Arabidopsis thaliana: one gene and its partners. The protein of the gene in region 2 interacts with the protein of the main gene of each other region in a biochemical or structural test. Each region holds a gene or a part of one and is shown on either strand. Other genes may lie near its edges.

Evidence for each region.
Region 1: the proteins of BT1 (region 2) and CUL3 form a complex in vitro, tested with the Arabidopsis thaliana proteins (one study listed by BioGRID).
Region 3: the proteins of BT1 (region 2) and BET10 form a complex in vitro, tested with the Arabidopsis thaliana proteins (one study listed by BioGRID).

Annotation. Positions count from the first base shown.
Region 1 is NC_003070.9:9,293,019-9,299,129, reverse strand, and holds CUL3 (cullin 3), read right to left. Parts: upstream 3,566-6,111; 5' UTR 3,199-3,565; intron 3,078-3,198; 5' UTR 3,068-3,077; coding exon 2,907-3,067; intron 2,794-2,906; coding exon 756-2,793; 3' UTR 501-755; downstream 1-500. Other genes in the region: ORC6 (origin recognition complex protein 6), read right to left, coding at 48-94, 189-308; RNS3 (ribonuclease 3), read left to right, coding at 5,408-5,497, 5,581-5,736, 5,848-6,046. UniProt on the Arabidopsis thaliana protein: Component of the cullin-RING ubiquitin ligases (CRL), or CUL3-RBX1-BTB protein E3 ligase complexes which mediate the ubiquitination and subsequent proteasomal degradation of target proteins.
Region 2 is NC_003076.8:25,332,133-25,337,655, reverse strand, and holds BT1 (BTB and TAZ domain protein 1), read left to right. Parts: upstream 1-2,085; 5' UTR 2,086-2,256; coding exon 2,257-2,388; intron 2,389-2,482; coding exon 2,483-2,622; exon of another isoform or gene 2,623-2,951; coding exon of another isoform or gene 2,952-2,968; coding exon 2,969-3,272; intron 3,273-3,373; coding exon 3,374-3,708; coding exon of another isoform or gene 3,709-3,712; exon of another isoform or gene 3,713-3,984; coding exon 3,985-4,171; 3' UTR 4,172-4,484; downstream 4,485-5,523. UniProt on the Arabidopsis thaliana protein: May act as a substrate-specific adapter of an E3 ubiquitin-protein ligase complex (CUL3-RBX1-BTB) which mediates the ubiquitination and subsequent proteasomal degradation of target proteins. Also targeted for degradation by the 26S proteasome pathway.
Region 3 is NC_003074.8:274,459-281,124, forward strand, and holds BET10 (bromodomain and extraterminal domain protein 10), read right to left. Parts: upstream 4,384-6,666; 5' UTR 4,098-4,383; intron 3,953-4,097; 5' UTR 3,929-3,952; coding exon 2,849-3,928; intron 2,772-2,848; coding exon 2,723-2,771; intron 2,637-2,722; coding exon 2,553-2,636; intron 2,128-2,552; coding exon 2,044-2,127; intron 1,961-2,043; coding exon 1,845-1,960; coding exon of another isoform or gene 1,788-1,844; exon of another isoform or gene 1,761-1,787; coding exon 1,694-1,760; intron 1,597-1,693; coding exon 1,475-1,596; intron 1,385-1,474; coding exon 1,124-1,384; 3' UTR 875-1,123; downstream 1-874. Other genes in the region: AT3G01760 (Transmembrane amino acid transporter family protein), read left to right, coding at 1-65, 147-252, 352-443, 544-612, 690-812; TPLATE (ARM repeat superfamily protein), read left to right, coding at 4,713-5,846, 5,951-6,547.

The DNA of each region.
Region 1 (6,111 bases), on a different chromosome or scaffold from region 2:
ACTATGGATATTGAAATCGTTATAAATCAATTACGATAATTATTTACCTAGTGGCGGCGATTTCTAGACAAATCACAGCTTTACAGATCTCACCCTGATAGAAAAATCAAATTCTCAACACATAAGGAAAAATTATAATCAAAGTACTCGATGTGAAACTTTGGGATTCAGAATCGGATTTATCTTACAACGCCGATGATGGATGAATCGAACTGAGCATCGCAAAGACGGCGGATCTCTGCAGCTTTTCTGATTAAAAGCTTGTTGTTATCGAGACTAAGTTTCCTACCTATGTCGGAGATATCCATATCCTTAATTTTCCGGCGATTGTTACAAGACAAAGAACCAAAGTCAGACACTGTGAGAGATTTTTTCCCCTAGAAATGTCAATGGAACCGATTAGGCTATGAAAACGCTATAAACAAAGCGTTGCCAACGTTTGGCGGGATTTTTTTACGCCTGGTTGAAATTTTAGCCGCGAATGTTTTTTTTGGCTCTTAACCGTTTAAAATGGGCCTTAAAAGGCCTCGAGCCGGCCCAACGTGTCCAGAAGCTGAAATCACATACGGTATCTGATGAAAGACAAAAGAAAAGGAAACAAATGTATATTCGATTAAACCGGTAGTGACGCTGTGTTGGTTCGTTCTTACCGACTACCGTACAGTTCAAAAGATTTTACATCAAACATAAGGAAATAAAGCAAAGAAAGAAACAGAGTAAAGCCTTTTTTTTTTGGGTTGTGGTATTCAACTTATTTAGGCTAGATAGCGGTAAAGTTTCCGGTCTGTACTATCCCTTTCCAAGAAATCTCGTTCAATGAGCGACTCGATTCTCTTCTTTATCTCCGTGGGATTAGCTAGGAACCGTGGCTGCAACTGTTTCGTCACCTCGGCGATTATGTTGTTGTGGTCTAGTATTTTCCTGGACTTCATGATCCTTACGATGGCTGCTTCAATCTGAGGTTTTCTGTCTTCCTCCACTCTCTGTCTCGTCTCTTGCTTCTCCGGTTCTGTTTCCTTTTGGGCAACCACAGTTCCGATCTTCACTTTGTAAAACTTGCTAGTGAACTTGTCGTTCACAACGAACAAATCCTCCTCTCCTATGTCTTTGCTCATGGGTTCTTTCTTTATCACGTTTTTGCCCTTTACACAAGCTAGCGACTGCAAACAGCGTTTAAGATCTGCTGCCGGGATTTCTGTAGCCTGTTCGATCTCTTTGTAGCTGAGTCGATCAGAATTGTTGAACAACATGAGAACACACATCTGGAAAGTCGACACGTTCAGTTCATGTTTCTGACCCTTTCCAAAGATGGCTTTGATATCTGCTGTGCCCATGTTTGTTTGCCAGGACAATCTTCTACCGGTATGTGTCCCAAGGTAGTAAGAACGGAACTTCTCACAGAGAACTGAAACTTCAGCTGGGAGATTACAAGGTACTGCAGGCTGTGTTGGCCAAGAACCAGTTGTAAGTACCTGAACAATAAGTGTAGGTCCTTCTGAAAGCTCGGGGTGACTGCCATAAAACCCACGCATTGTGTCCTCTGAAGTCTTCATGTCAGTGAACATGCCTTCCAATTTTGAAGTGAACTGATAGCCACATTCTGTCTTTAGTTTCACTATTAAACTCCTTTCTGCGTCATCTGACACAGTTTTGCCTGAGAGAAGCCTTTTAGCCAAATGCTGCTTGTAGTACTTCTCAAAGACATCTTTCTCTTGTAAATAACGGAACAGCATCATCACTTTATCAAGGATAACCTCAACATCCACATCGGTGATACCCTTAAGTCCTTTCCGTAGCTTGTCATCAACAAACAGGGAGATAAACTCAGGAGAACGAGCATTCAAGTTGATGAAATACTCGAATGAAGAATTCAGGGCATTCTGAAAGGTTTTATCATTGCCAAATGCGGTGTTGATGATTTTGTCATATTTATCCCGCTCATCCAATAGACGTTGTACAAATTCCACCGGATCCTTTGACTTTTCCGGATCAGTAACCAGTTGTTTTCCCATCTCCCTAAGATGCGAAGTCATAACGTCTCTGACAGTAACAAGACCATTAGTAACCCTGCGAAACAAGTTGTACATTCTACCCAAATCCTCATACTTGTCATTCAGAAGCATATTAACCAGACCTGAGTTCTCCATGTGAACCAGTCTCTGCATGTGGTTGGCAATCATCTCTTTCTCAACCACACTAGTAATCTTCTCTTCGCTCTTGGCATCTAAGTAGTGCGCTACCCTCTCTATCTCTTCAGTAAGGCGTTTCTCTGATTTCTTCAGATAGTCCCCACAATCACAAGATTCAATAAACTCCTGAGACTCAACCTTATAAAACTCAGAAGACGCATCCAAAAACGGCTTCTCAAAATCCTCCTGATACACAGATTCACCCAAATCCATAAACATCTTAATGACATTCCTCATCAACCCCCTATCAATAACTTCACCTATCCGTTCCTTCTGCACTAGATCAAGAAGAGTGTTTAGAAGCCTTGTATGTATCTTAGTGAAATGCACAACATTATCCCTCCACAAGTTAAGCCCCATCGGATGAACATGAGTCTTTTTGGTGCTCTCAATATAAGTCCTATCCATATACATGAGAATGTCTCGAATCATCTCTAACGCTTTGTTGTGCTCATTCCATTTCTTATTAAGCTCTTCTAGAAACGACCCTCCCTGAGCTGCCTCGATAAGCTTGGATTTTTCTTTGAGATGAGAAGTCATAGTAGCAATAAACCCAGTATATAGCTTCTCACCAAACTTGTGCAGGACCATGTTGTACGCATTTCTGAGCCACAATATACACAAATAATTCCATTAACACGAAACCTAGCTAAGTTCCAGAAACATTACCAGTTTCTACAGGATTCAAAGAAAGGCAAGAGAATGAAAGAAATTGACCTGTAAAGTTCTTCGAAACTGAGACCGCTAGCATCTTGATTGTAAATCTGATGGATCGCACGCTCAAGAATCTGCCAAGTTTTATCAGCGTATTTGGGATCCACAACGACTCGATGCTTAAACGCCTCTATCTGAAAATTCCTCTTCTTCTGATTACTCATATTTTGAAACCTGAATCCAAAACAAATCAATCTAAATTCACACAGCAACGAAAAAATTGACGAGCGAGAAGAAAGTATATATGTATAATCATAATGAAAATCAGGTGGATCGAGGAAATCGGAAGACTGACCGGAGAGGAAAGACGGATGATCGGGATTAGGGTTTGGAATTGTATTCTTTGCTTCCGTGAAAAGATTTGGGGGAAACAAAAAGATAGGAAATGGAATAATAATCGAAAAGTTTAAAGGAGAAAGAAGCTTAAGGCTAATTTGCAGCGTCGAAGAGATATAGATAGAGAGGTATCGGAGAAGATAGATTTCGAAGGTGGAGAAGAAGAAGAGGACAGACCAAACGGAGCGGAAGAAATAAAAGTGGACTCTCCGTCTCTGCTGGTGGTTTCCAAACTATAACGTATTTATTAAATTAAAGTCGCGGTTGTCACATTCTCGTCCTTTGGTATATTGGTTACAAAGAATTGTGAAATATCGAAGTCCAAGGATCGATCCCTAGTCGAAGCCAGTTATTTTTTTTTTTTTGACATTGGAGGTTTAGTTAGCTTTTATACTTATGTGGATATGACAAATTGGCACGTCGGTCATTTCATTTAATTGAACTAAAAATATGTCAACTTCTATTTCATAAAGAGGCTTTGAATCCCTTAGAGTGGCGAATGTTGCTTCTCCTCTTTTGGCAGAAGCCATGGCGCTTCATCTAGCCCAACAAAATGCCTTAGAACTCGGTTTTAGGAAGTCACCTTCGCTTCAGATTTGCAAACGCTGATCAAAGCTATCAACTCAGAATCCTTCCCAAAGAATCTCTACGTGATTTTCCAAGATGTTCTTGCTCTTTCGTTTAATTTCGATCAAATTTCTTTTCACTTCATTTTTAGAGAAAAAAACGGTTGTGCATATGCATATGCAAAATCTGCATTAAATTATGCACTTATTGTACCAACTTATGTATCGGTTTAAGTTTCGGTTTAATGAAATTTCAGCTTCTTGACGAAAAAAAAAAATCCCTTTTAATTCATTCACAAAAAAAGTTATATCGTCTGTTACCTTTCTCTTCACCAGTTTACCAACCTTTGTTGCTTGCATTCACTGTTTCGATGCCATATTCAATCGTCTCTATGCATCTGTTTAAAAAATGCATTTCCTCCACAACTTCAGCGACACTATGTTCTAACTTCTAACTAGTTTTTGTCGTTGTAAACACGTCAATGGATCTTCTTCCTTATCCCTGGTCAAGCTCATGATGATATTCTTTGTCTTTGCTTTCTTGAAGCCATTTTCTGGAAAGCAACGCATGGTATATACCATCTTTCTTGTTTTAATCATACAAACTTTGACTTGGACCTATCTTCTTACTTTTCATTGTATAATCTACAAACTTTATAACAATCTTCACCTTCCCTATAAGGTTAACCCAACTAGTGGATTATTCGTATCCACCTCAAGCGCCAAAACATGGTAAGGATCATTGGTAGATTTTAGTATGATTGTGAGGTAGGATCATTGCCGGCTCAAAGTTATGGGCGGTCTAAAGTTTTTTTTTTTTAATAAAAAAATTAGCAGAAGTAGTTGAGGGAACTCGAACACACAACCTCTTGGCTGAAAATGTGACATAAATCGCTGCACTGTAAGGAATTTTTATAATTTTATTGCCCCCAAATATTTGTGATACCTAAGGTTCTTGCATAAATGCAGAACTTGATAGAATACGGTACACACTGGAGTCTGTAACTGTAGAAGTAGAACCAAGTAGCCAACATGCGCCTCATCAAGAAACTTGACGTACGTTTCCGAGACGGGACAATGGTTTGATTTATGCCTTTATGGGTCTTTAACACTTTATGAGAAACAAGGATCTTTAAGTGGATTTAAATATTTAAAATTTAAGAAACAAAGGTCTTTAAGTGAATACTATAAGAGTTTCTTTATTTATTTTTCCAATCGAATACTCATAATTTTATAAATACTGAGACACATAATATTCGGCTAGCTCTAAAACATTGGAGCTGGAAAGTTTGCCTTACGTTACGTTAATTGGAGCTACAAAATACTCATAATTTTGTAGTTGAAGCATGATGAAAAGTTTGCCTTACGTTATTACTTTTTAAAGCATTGGAGCTGAAAATAAAATGCTTGCACGAAATACTAACCTAACACAATTAAGCAAACATATACCAATCACACGTCACGTCTCTCTACCCAAAACAAAATATCACACTTCACGTTATATGACTTATATAAACATATTCTAAACTATTTATCTATCATCCATCCTTCATTGGTTTTCGACAAATTTGATTCCCACAAATTATTTGATATCTTGAGGAAATGAAATTCTTCATTTTTATTCTAGCGTTACAACAACTCTACGTACAAAGTTTCGCCCAAGATTTCGATTTCTTCTACTTCGTTTTACAGGTAATTAAAGTCGATAAATGTCTCTACAAGAATTATCATTGTACTTTGAAATTTTATGTTTGTGTATGTGCGTTGCAATGCAGTGGCCTGGAGCGTATTGTGATTCAAGACATAGTTGTTGCTATCCACAAACCGGTAAACCAGCTGCAGATTTTGGAATTCACGGTCTTTGGCCTAACTACAAAACCGGTGGATGGCCGCAAAATTGTAATCCTGACAGTCGATTTGATGATTTACGGGTTTGTTTTTAACTTATAACACAATAGTTTTTGTATTTTGGGACTTCGGAAATTATTAACCACAAGAAAAGAATCGTAAATAACTAATGAGAATCGAAAACTTTTATAAAGGTTTCTGATCTGATGAGCGATTTACAAAGAGAATGGCCAACGTTGTCGTGTCCGAGCAATGATGGTATGAAGTTTTGGACACATGAGTGGGAGAAACACGGTACGTGCGCTGAGTCCGAGCTTGACCAACACGATTACTTCGAAGCTGGTCTCAAGCTCAAACAGAAAGCTAATCTCCTTCATGCCCTTACCAATGCTGGTACAATATTCACTTGTTTTGCCCTTCATTTTGATCTCCATTGTTAGTTATGTATAAGTGGATGT
Region 2 (5,523 bases):
AACAATTTTAGAATAGAAAGTGTTCAGTAATATTTTAATTTCTAAACCCTTAAATGTGTTGGGAAGAATCTTACATGAAATCATCAAATCCATTAGTTTATTAACACTTTTCACTTTTCTCTTCCGTCGAAACTTATCCACAAGTTTTGGATTTTGATGTTTCGTTTTCTTAAAGAGCCATTTGTGAATACTTAAAGTTATAACAACAACATGATTAATATATCGAATATACATATACTTGTAGAGTTAATGAAAGGAAAACACCCCCGACATCTTATAATAAAATGTTATAAAACTAAAAAGTGTACATAAACTACTACTCTGAAACCTTAACACATTAATTTTCCAATAGTTAGAAACTTAGAATAGTTATATGGCCTTATGAGATGTCTACACTAGTTGTTAAATGTCAACACGGATATTGAAATTTCTTGGAACTGATTCTGAATTCGTTTAAGTACTTCGTTTAAGAGCTTGATGCGCAACATAAAGCTCTTATTTGACACGTGTCATGATGTTAATGGTTAAGCTTGACTGCCATATTGGCCTAGACTACCAGATTTGCCACGTGTAATATATGCGGCGAAATTTATTTCATTCTTCGATAAGTTCTTCAACATCCTATGATGTTCAGGCATTCTTAAACCACAATTAACAAAGGCCAGTGGCAGAAATGGATAAATGAGAGAATGACAAGTGGATAGACAAGAGGGCTTGAGAGTGGATGAGGATCAACAAGCCACGTAGACGAGGAGGTGGGCTCTTGGGAAGAGGCAAGGGTCGGTTTACTTCAATAACCACCCTTTCTCAAACTTAGAATAATACTACTATCAGCACTTTTTCTACATCACAAAGGCAAATTTCTTGACCGGTTTTATCACTTTTCCCACGTAGGATCAATAAAAAAAGATAAACATTCGTGACTTCATGAATCATGGGGACAAACATCCTACATGGTACCAAAAGTAAAATACATTACTTGTTTTATTGTCATCCCAAACATTACAAAGGGCCAAAGGCAATATTATTTCTAGATACTTTCAGTGGAAAGTATTAATATATGTGTGTAATGTTGGGAATAAAATATAGTCGACATTGGTGTATCGAAAGGTCCATTTAAAAACATAATATATTGTAATGATCTATAGGTTAGATCCTGTTGGTATATCAGGTTGGGAATAAGAAAATACTTTTGTTATACAATGTATTATAGAATATGTTGTGTTAGGGGGCACTGCGGCTATTTGACAATGTTTGAGGCATATTAGTCCTAGGGAAGTTTATAATAAGCTGCATCACCAAATCCTTTATACATATCTAAGCGTAGTAAGATGAATGTAACTGATCATAGATTTTAACATATGATATGAGCTCTGAATGGAGAAAATATATTTATCTAATTAAATAAAATATGTCATTCGGGTCCAAAAATGATATGCAGACTTAAATTTTCAAACTATTCAAACTAGGAAAATAAAATTGAACTTATCTTCTGGAGATTTTTTTTTTTTTAAATTGTGCTTTGTATATTTATTAGTCCAATATAAACATAAATGAGATAAGTACACATAGGCTTTTTGTTGTTGGGTTTGTTCACATTTGTTAGTTCTTTTTTTCTGTCAAACAGTAGTATATTTTCAGTTTTTCTGCTTCAAATTTTGTAAGCAAGAAGTTCTGTTTCATTTTAGTTTATAAAAATTTATAACAACATGTAACTATATGCTTTTAAAGTAGACTCAAATACTGGGTGTTATCTGTGTATAGATTAAGATACAACTAATTGTATCTGTGTCTTAGTGTCTATATATACGATTATCTATTTATCAAAACGGAAAAACCATAGCCAATTACTTGCATTTGGGTTGGTGTTAAAGACAACCGCAAATTATTTATCAATGAATCATAACTTATCTCAGAGAAATACAGATCTGAGACCCCAAAACTCCTGAATATACAGTTCACTACTTTTATTTCCAATTATTCTGGTTACCAAAAAAACAGAGATTAATTGACATACACGCATCTACAAAGGCGCGTAGGGTAAAACAGAAACAAAAACAAGATATTTATCATAAAAAAATGCCACGTGTTATTAACAAGTAATCAAAAAGGACCAGACTTCGTTGAGCTGTGTCTATAAAATCCAGAGAAGCAATGCCCTCAAGCTTCTCCATCATCAAATTAAAACCCTCCAGCCTCCAACAACAAAATTTACCAACACTCTCTCTTTCTCTTTCTCTCTGAAAACTTAAAACGATGGCTATAACCGCCACTCAAAACGACGGCGTTTCACTAAACGCCAATAAGATTTCGTATGATCTTGTGGAAACTGATGTTGAGATCATCACCTCCGGTCGTCGTAGTATTCCGGCACACTCCGGCATCCTCGTAAGTTTCTTTTCTTCTTACTTTCTTTGTATGATCGAATATTTTTTTATTTTGGTGCTTATCTTTTTTGTTTGTTTAAAATTGTTAAATGCAGGCTTCGGTCTCACCGGTACTGACGAACATCATCGAGAAGCCGAGGAAGATTCACGGCGGATCATCGAAGAAAGTTATTAAGATTCTCGGTGTTCCATGCGACGCCGTTTCAGTCTTCGTCAGATTCCTCTATTCTCCGAGGTTCGTCTTTCTCTCTTTTTCATATCTTCTTGATCGTCAGATTTTTTTTTTTAATCCGTAGATTTATTACTTCAAAAATACAAATCATACTAAAAAGAATGCTTGATTAAATACATCATCTTAAAGATCTTTACCAAACTCGACTTTTCCAACGTTTTAATCATACATTAAAATCACTACAACCAGATTGCGATTGATTTAGACTTGTTTCATATTCAAAAACGTGTGAAACACAACACAAGGAACACGAAACTAGTACCAACATCAAATTTGAATAAATCAACGGCAAATTTTACCCTTAGTATGCAAAATGACTAGAATACCCCTATATGTATCTTTTGTTTAGTGTCACGGAGAATGAGATGGAAAAATACGGAATCCATCTACTGGCTTTATCACACGTGTATATGGTGACTCAGTTAAAGCAACGGTGCACTAAAGGCGTCGGTGAGAGAGTAACCGCCGAAAACGTTGTCGATATTCTCCAGCTGGCTCGTCTCTGCGACGCACCTGACCTCTGTCTCAAGTGTATGCGATTCATTCACTACAAGTTCAAGACCGTTGAACAGACAGAAGGATGGAAGTTTCTTCAAGAACACGATCCTTTTCTTGAACTTGACATTCTCCAATTCATCGACGATGCAGAATCGGTAATTAACTCAAACCACACTTTTTTGTTTTCTTTTTTTTTGGTTCTTCAAGAAAACTCTGTTTTATTGAATTAGGTTTCTTTTGGGTCAATTTCTTGCAGAGGAAGAAAAGAAGAAGGAGACACAGACGAGAACAGAATCTGTATTTGCAGCTGAGTGAAGCCATGGAATGTATAGAACACATATGCACCGAAGGTTGCACACTGGTCGGACCATCGTCTAACTTAGACAACAAGTCAACATGTCAAGCAAAACCCGGTCCATGCAGTGCGTTTTCGACTTGTTACGGACTTCAACTTCTTATACGTCACTTTGCAGTATGCAAGAAAAGAGTCGATGGCAAAGGTTGTGTCCGATGCAAGAGAATGATTCAACTCCTTAGACTCCATTCTTCGATTTGTGACCAATCTGAATCTTGCCGTGTCCCTCTTTGCAGGTAAAAATCCGACATTTTAGAATAATCAAAACCACATTTTAAATGTTTCTAATGATAAAAGTTTTTCACTTTTCGATAGTAGATCTCATTTGATTTTTTTTTAACTTTCGGCGCCAATAATAATTATCTTTTTGTGGTGGTAGCCTACTTATTAGATGATGAGTCGTGATCGGACGGCTGGAAATATTTTGTTTGGTAGAATTATTAAAAGATATTTTAAGAAATGAGAATCTGATCTCGTTGTCAACTTTTTATTTGTTTTGGTGATTGGAGTAGGCAATATAAGAATAGAGGTGAAAAGGACAAGAAAATGGTTGAGGACACGAAGTGGAAGGTTCTGGTGAGAAGAGTAGCGTCTGCTAAAGCCATGTCTTCGTTGTCTCAATCAAAGAAGAAAAAAAGTGAAGTGTTATTTAAAGAAGAAGCAGAAGATTTGATCAGAATCCGGAACAAGTTAATGTGAATATACAATATATGTGTTTTTATTAGATTATATAGTGAGCGATTGTTAGAAGCCATTAATTACTTGAGTCGGAAGGTTTATTTGTTTGTTATTTGTCTCTCGGACTGGTTGATTGGGTTAAACTTGTCAATGAGTAACCCTTTGAATCTGTCGTTTTGTTTGGTCGGTCGAATTATATAGAAATGTATTATTGGTTATAAAATGGTATTAGGGTTTTTGGAGACTTTGTGGCAAAAAGTATACAGATTGATCCGGTTTAAACTAGCTAACGTCAAACGCAAAAGGATTACTGAATCTAAAGTAATGTGACAAGATGGAAACAAAATAATTATTCTCTTTGTAGTTGATTGGTCATGCCAAATTATATGACTAGACCTGGTTGCATATGAATCACAAAAAATCTAAATGAGATTCAAGTTGGATCGGTCTAATCAATCACAATAGCTTCAACCATGCATGATACAAAGGAGAATTTTGATGGAAATAATAGAAATTCAATATTGGAGATCAAAATTGACCAACCGGTCTTAGTCACTGGTATAGTGGAAGGTTGATCATGATTGAGGATTCAAAAGCAAACAAGGCAAATTATTAGAAAAAAACATGTGCTTATAATTAGTTAAAACAGAGATATTTTTATTAAATTCTTCATTCATACTTGGGTTCGACTGGAAAAAGGAAAGACGCGTGGGGGACAGATGAACCACGCAATGTGGTTTCGTGTCGGATGTCAATTACTCTTACATTTCAGTTCATACTTCTTAACTACCAGATGAATGCACTTAATAAAAAAAAAATCAAATACAAGAATTGTTCTTTTGAAATGGAAATGAATATTTTCATGTTATAACACGAGTTTTGACATAAAAAGGTTAAACAACTCGAGCAAGTTCATTCACTAAAGTTTCAACATGAAACTTATTCTAAATTGTTATTTTTACATATTTTGAAGAAAAAAAACAAAAAAGAAGATGACAATATCAACCCGTAAAGCTTTCTGAGTAGTGGAGCAATGCAGTCACCGATGTTTTAATACTAACGACAACAATGATTCTTATCATGACGATAGAGGTGACTAAAGATTCGACCACGTATGAATTAAAGAAAAGAATGTTTACATACGAACGACAAAAAAGATTCTTATCAGGAGTAATGACACAGAATAAGTGAGTGGTGACTAAAGATTTAACCAAAGACTTGGATGAGCTGGAGTAAGCAAAGACTTGGAAGCATCCTGCAGGTTCCGTGGAGGTAAAGAGTCATGGGAGTGATACGATTAATTATGCATTGTTTGATATTTTGACTTGTGAGCGACGATGTGTTCCTGTGATTGAGAATTATATGACCTAGAG
Region 3 (6,666 bases), on a different chromosome or scaffold from region 2:
AACCAACGGCACTTGTCATTGTGGCCAACATGTTTGTGGTCATACATCTCTTGGGAAGCTACCAGGTACACCAGAAAACGCCTCTCATTAGAAGCAAAAAAAAACTTGTAGTTCCCCGCCTTAACTGATCTGCTTTGTCCTCCTAGGTGTATGCGATGCCCGTGTTTGACATGATCGAATCTGTAATGATAAGGATATGGCACTTCAGTCCAACAAGAGTTCTACGGTTTACCATCCGATGGACTTTTGTGGGTAAGTCTCTGTGATTTTTGCAAACCAAAGAAACTAAATTCACATTCTTTTCAGAGGAGTAGCATTTTGATGATTGATTAACTTACCTCTATATCGCAGCCGCCACGATGGGAATAGCGGTCGGTTTACCGTATTACAGCGCATTGCTGTCATTTTTTGGGGGATTTGTGTTCGCCCCGACCACATACTTTGTAAGCGCGAATACTCTACTCTTAAACTGCTCTTGATATCATCAAACTTCAATCAACATGTTAATAACTCTAACAAACATAATGATATGTTATCTTTCAGATCCCATGCATCATGTGGCTGATCCTAAAGAAACCAAAGAGATTTAGTCTCTCATGGTGTATGAACTGGGTAAGATGTTTGTAGTCCTCAGATCAAAAGCTAAATATGACACTTACAGCTAAGTTAAATCTTTTTTTTTGGAGCAGTTTTGCATCATTTTTGGGCTTGTGCTGATGATCATAGCACCTATTGGGGGACTGGCCAAACTAATCTATAATATTCAAAAGGGCACTCTACCTAATTCAAGATGCAACTTACCTAAACACTGACGATTGCCTTGTAGGTAACATAAATTGGTTGGACGCAACAATTTCGCTGGTACTAGAGTCTAGAGGCTCTATTACCAAACTCGAGTGTAAATCTATAGAATTAACTCTGAGACATGCTCCCTCTCTCTCTCGGTGCTGTCGGTCATTGGTTTATTGAATTAACCAAAATTTTACTCACTACACAAAGTGTTATTGATTGTTTACTCGGATAAAATGCCATCGCATTGGTTAAATATCAATCTAACTATCATTTTTTACAACAACTCATGTACACTTGACTGCTGTTATCCAAGACACAACACTCATGAATCTCAGTCGATTTCACCCTCTTCTACTTCATTGCCGGGATCTGGAAACGCAAGCATGTCGGATTCATCTTCATCCTCCTCATGTTTCATAAATAGCCCCAGCTGCTCTAGAGGATTACTTCCTCCAAACCCAAATACAGCCAACCCATCAGACTCAGAGCCAACATCTCTTAGATTTCGTAACTGGTCCGTGTTAACCGTTTTGAGCAGTTCTAGGTCCTTGAGAAACCTTGTGTTCTCATTTATTTCAACCGACTTCTCCATCTGGTGTACCATTCAGTCATGGCAATGATCAATATACATGTATTGCAGTTTATAAAACCAAACTGGTACAAGGCAGCAATTTTGATTTACCTCAAGCAATGCCTGCCGGGCTGCTTCTCTTTCAAGTTCCAGTTTCCTCTTAGCCTCTTGTGCCTCAGCTTTTCTACGAGCTTCTTCAGCTTCCTTGGCTTCTGCTTGTAACCGTGCTTTTTCTGGTGCACAAAACAATAAGAGGACAAGTTTATGTACGTATATACTACTTGGTATATATCATCAATCAAAAAATCGAAACTAGCAAATCAAGAATACCTTTCTTCTTTTGCAATTCCAGTTCTTCCTTCTCACGTTGCAGTGTCTCTGGGTCTCGTTTCTCATTCTGATCTCACAAATATAATTTTGAAAGTCAAAGAGGGAGGGCTAACCAGATATAACAGCTCACACCTCCACAAACACAGCTAACCTGATTAAGAGTTATCTCTTGAGCCTTCAAGATTATATCCGCAAATCGATTTTTCAATAGAGCAGCCCTGTAACGCTTTTCTGGAGGTAGTTCCTTCTCTTTTGGAGCACTATTTCCTAAATTATTAATGGGTCAAGAGTGAGATGCCACCCTCAGATATTAGAGCACAGATATTTTTCTGCTACACTTCTGAGCTTACCATCTTGATGACCATCTGCCCCCTCAATAAGACTTAGCTTCCCTCTGGATGCATCTTCCATCTGATTCAATCCACCGACGGAATCTGCTTTTAGAAAGGGAATAAGAAAACCAAGGTTTATTAATTAATATCAACAAAACTTAACATCTTTTGCACCAAAAGAGGAGTAATCACTGATTAGAGATAATATGATCACTATAGAAAATAGCAAACAGCGACCTGGGAGTAAAACAAGCAGAAAATGTAACAGGTCTATCACTATCATACTAGGTGTGTAATATGAGTTGCTATCAGTAAGGTCAGTAAGTTTCACTCCAAAAAAACTACAGAAGTAACATTGAGTATTCTAGATGGACGGCCACTTCTGACAAGAGGGAAGTAAAATGGTTCCGAGGGTTAAGTACATATAAGAATTGCAAACATCAAACGTCTGCAAAAGCTCCATAGAGAAAAAGACAAATACAATGTAGCAAGATTAAACAAACCACTGTAGTTCTCTAACGCCATACCTTTTTCTGTTCTGACAGTTGAGATGTGAGATATAGGGTGCTCATAATTACCAATGTCAACATCCTCGTCCTCCAATTCACTCCCTGCAAGTAACGAGGAGGAAATGACAGCTTAATCATAGAGTAGGACATGCGAATTAGCTCAAACAACAAAACCAGTGTATGCTAACCATCACAGTGTTGCGTCAATGAATTTCCTGGCCCTGACCCATGTAAAAGCTACATCAAGAAAGTTTTCGCTGTTTATCAGTCATGTTAACAAATGGATCAAGAATGAGATATAGAAAGGTGATTACCTCTAACACACAGGGTTCACCGTTTGAATCTTTCTTTTGATTTTCTCGCAGAAACTCATCAAAGAGATCCCGCAACTGGAACAAGGCATCATGACTGAGATCATTGATGTCAATCTCTATCTCATCATCTCCAGATCTCTCTTCCTTGGAGCTGTGATCTCTCAGGAAATTTATTATCTGTACAGGGAATTCTGTCAAGGACCCCAAATCTCTGCCAAGCTTTACTCTATCCTCATCTGTCATAACCCGCTTAGCAGGCTCTAAGAGGCTGTTACGTTTCACAGCATTCATCTTTCTCTTCTTAGCCACAGGCTCAGGTATCGCAATATCTTTGTGAGCAAGAGTAGCCAAGTTACTTGGTTCAGATTTGGTTCCGGATGACTTCTTCTCGATAGTTTTCCATCTCACTTCAAAAAACTTGCTGAGAGTATCAGCGAAGCGATACACATTATTATCTGACGGGTTATAAGTCATAGCATTGCGGAAAGTAAGACGGACATCAGCAGAAAACTCTGAAGGGCTTGAATACGTGCCGGAAGTTAACTTGCTTTTAACAGTTCCTAAATCCATAGGATGTTTGATAATGGTGAAATAATCAGGAATGTTGAGCTTGACGACGTCCACAGGGGTATTAAAGAGCCAACAATGCTGCTGCGACATCAATCGTTTAAGGAGGCTCTCACATTGCTTCATCCGAAGCATAGTGGAAGTGGTGACTGGCTCTGGTTTGGTTGCTGTGAAGGGGAGCACCCTTTTTCCAGGGCCAGTAGAGCATCGTGACATTCCAAAACTCTTGGGGCGAGACACATTACTTGCAGGTGTACTAGTAACAATCTTAGATATAGGAAGAAGGTCCCCAACACTCTTCTGAAAGGACCGTAGTTGTTCCAGCTCCTGACGAAGCGTATGAATCCACTTTCTCCTTTCTGATGATGACAAGTCAGACAAGGGTAAAACTATTCTCGGGACACCAAAAGTTTCATCATCCTTGGAAGCATTGGGGCTATCATCACAGCCGCCGGGAGAGTCAAAACTGTTACGATTATAATCTCCTGGGAAACCACCGTTCCTCACAGTCATGATATCGCCCACCGAAGTGCGAACCTGCACAAATCAAAATATTTAAGTCAGTTTTGAGAAACCCTAACTATGAAAACCTGAAAGCAATTCAATTCTTAGAGCCCTATAGTATTGCTGGAGGAGAGCAGTGAACACTCAATATGCATAAAAAAGGAAATTCGGAACTAACCAACTCGAAACACTTAGCAAGCGATCGAACCGGAGCAGAAGTAAGAGAACCGAGGAACAAGCGTAAATCTTCTCCAGCAGAAACAGATTAACGCTAGAGATTGGTGTAGAAGATGATGATGAAGAAGAAGATAGAGTAAAACCCTAGAGTGGAGACGAAGAAGACGACCGAGAAGTAGAGAGAGAACAAAATCGCTCTCTGCCCTCCCTTCTCTAGTGTCCCGTCCCTAACGAATGCTGCGTCTAACGCCGTTTTGCTACTGGGCAGGACTCAATCTGGACCGTCGGATCTGATCCCTCGAATTAAAATCGAATGCAAATACTTCGGTGCATAAAAATAATATCCTGGGCTTATAATGTAAAGCCCAATGAACTTTTTAATGTGCCTTTATTGGGTCTACGGATGACTCAACACGGCACGCTGTGAAAGCTCGAATCGCAGGAACGGCACGCGCTTTTTTCCTTCGAAAACAATTTCTTCTCCTTCTTCTTCAATTGATGGTTTGATTTACACATCCTTCTTCTTCCAGTTCCATGTCGCATACGTACACAGATTGACAGCGAAGCTAGTTAGCTCAGATTTTGGATCTCGAATTTCAGTTAATTCGATCCGGTTATGGACATTCTTTTTGCTCAGATCCAGGCGGACCTCCGTTCAAATGACGCGCTTCGCCAGTCATCGGCGCTTCTTCAGGCGCTGCAGCAATCCGCCGCCGGAAGAGATATCTCTGTGATCGCTAAGTCTGCTGTGGAGGAGATTGTTGCTTCTCCGGCTTCAGCTGTTTGTAAGAAGCTGGCATTCGATCTCATCCGATCTACCCGCCTCACTCCGGATCTTTGGGACACCGTTTGCTCAGGTGTCAAAACGGATCTTCATTTTCCGGACCCGGATGTTACCGCCGCTGCCGTCTCCATCCTTGCGGCTCTCCCTGCCTTCTCGCTTCCTAAACTCATCTCTGATTGCAGCTCTGAGATTGCTTCCTGCTTCGATTCTCCATCTGACAACCTTCGTTTTTCCATCACCGAGACACTTGGCTGCATCCTCGCGCGTGATGATCTCGTTACTTTGTGCGAGAACAATGTGGGTCTCCTCGACAAGGTCTCCAACTGGTGGGCTCGGATCGGCCAGAACATGCTCGACAAATCCGACGCCGTCTCCAAGGTTGCCTTTGAGTCCGTCGGCAGACTCTTCCAGGAGTTCGACTCCAAGCGGATGAGCCGTCTTGCTGGCGATAAGCTCGTTGACAGCGAGAACTCCCTCGCCATCAGGTCCAAGTGGGTCTCTTCCATGGTTGACATTGTATGGAGAAAGAGGAGCGCTTTGATGGCTAGGTCTTTAGTCCTTCCTGTCGAAACCTTCAGAGCCACTGTTTTCCCTCTTGTCTTTGCTGTCAAAGCTGTTGCTTCCGGTAGTGTCGAAGTGATTAGACAGCTTTCCAAGGCTTCCTCTGCTGCTGCTGCAGCTAATGCCACCGTTGTGGACTCCAACGCCGAGAAGCTGGTTGGCGTCTCAGATTTGGTTACCCATTTGGCGCCATTCTTGGCTTCCTCTTTGGATCCAGCTTTGATTTTTGAAGTGGGAATTAACATGCTCTACCTGGCAGATGTTGCCGGAGGCAAGCCAGAGTGGGCTTCACAGTCCATTATTGCAATTTTAACACTCTGGGACCGCCAAGAATTTTCCTCTGCTAGAGAGAGTATAGTCAGGGCCGTTGTTACGAACCTGCACTTGCTTGATCTGCATATGCAGGTATGTCGTTTTTTACTTCATTTAAGCTCGGTTAGTTGTGTACCTTTGTCTTGAAGCTGTGGCCTATGATTTCTGAATCATTCTTTTTGGAATTTGTTACGAAGGTTTCGTTGTTTAGAAGACTGCTGCTTATGGTGAGAAACTTGAGAGCAGAATCGGACAGGATGCACGCATTAGCCTGTATCTGTCGGACAGCTCTCTGTGTTCACCTTTTTGCCAGAGAAAGTGCCCGAAGAGGTCAGAAGCCTCTGCCTGGGACAGATATTATTTCTCTCTTTGAAGATGCAAGGATTAAAGATGATCTCAATAGTGTTACCAGTAAGAGCTTATTTCGGGAAGAGCTGGTGGCAATGCTTGTGGAAAGCTGCTTCCAGTTGTCTCTACCTTTGCCTGAACAAAAAAACTCGGGTATGGAGAGCAGAGTGATTGGTGCGTTAGCATATGGTACTGGTTATGGTGCTCTGAACTGGACAGAACCAGCCCTTGAGGTTGTGGAAGTTTGTAGGCCTTGTGTCAAATGGGATTGTGATGGCAGGACGTACGCTGTAGATTGCTATTTGAAATTGCTTGTTAGGCTGTGCCATATCTATGATACCCGTGGAGGAGTGAAGAGGCTGAAAGATGGTGCTTCCCAGGATCAAATATTAAATGAGACACGATTGCAGAACTTGCAACGTGAGCTTGTTAAGGATCTCCAAGAGGTAATTAAGCCTCAGCTGAAAGTTAGAAGTAACCCTTGGCAATTTTCCTCGAAGAATTTTAGTTAGGCTTTCTTAAGTACTATTTAATACTAAATGTGGAGGAGAACTATTGCTTGTGG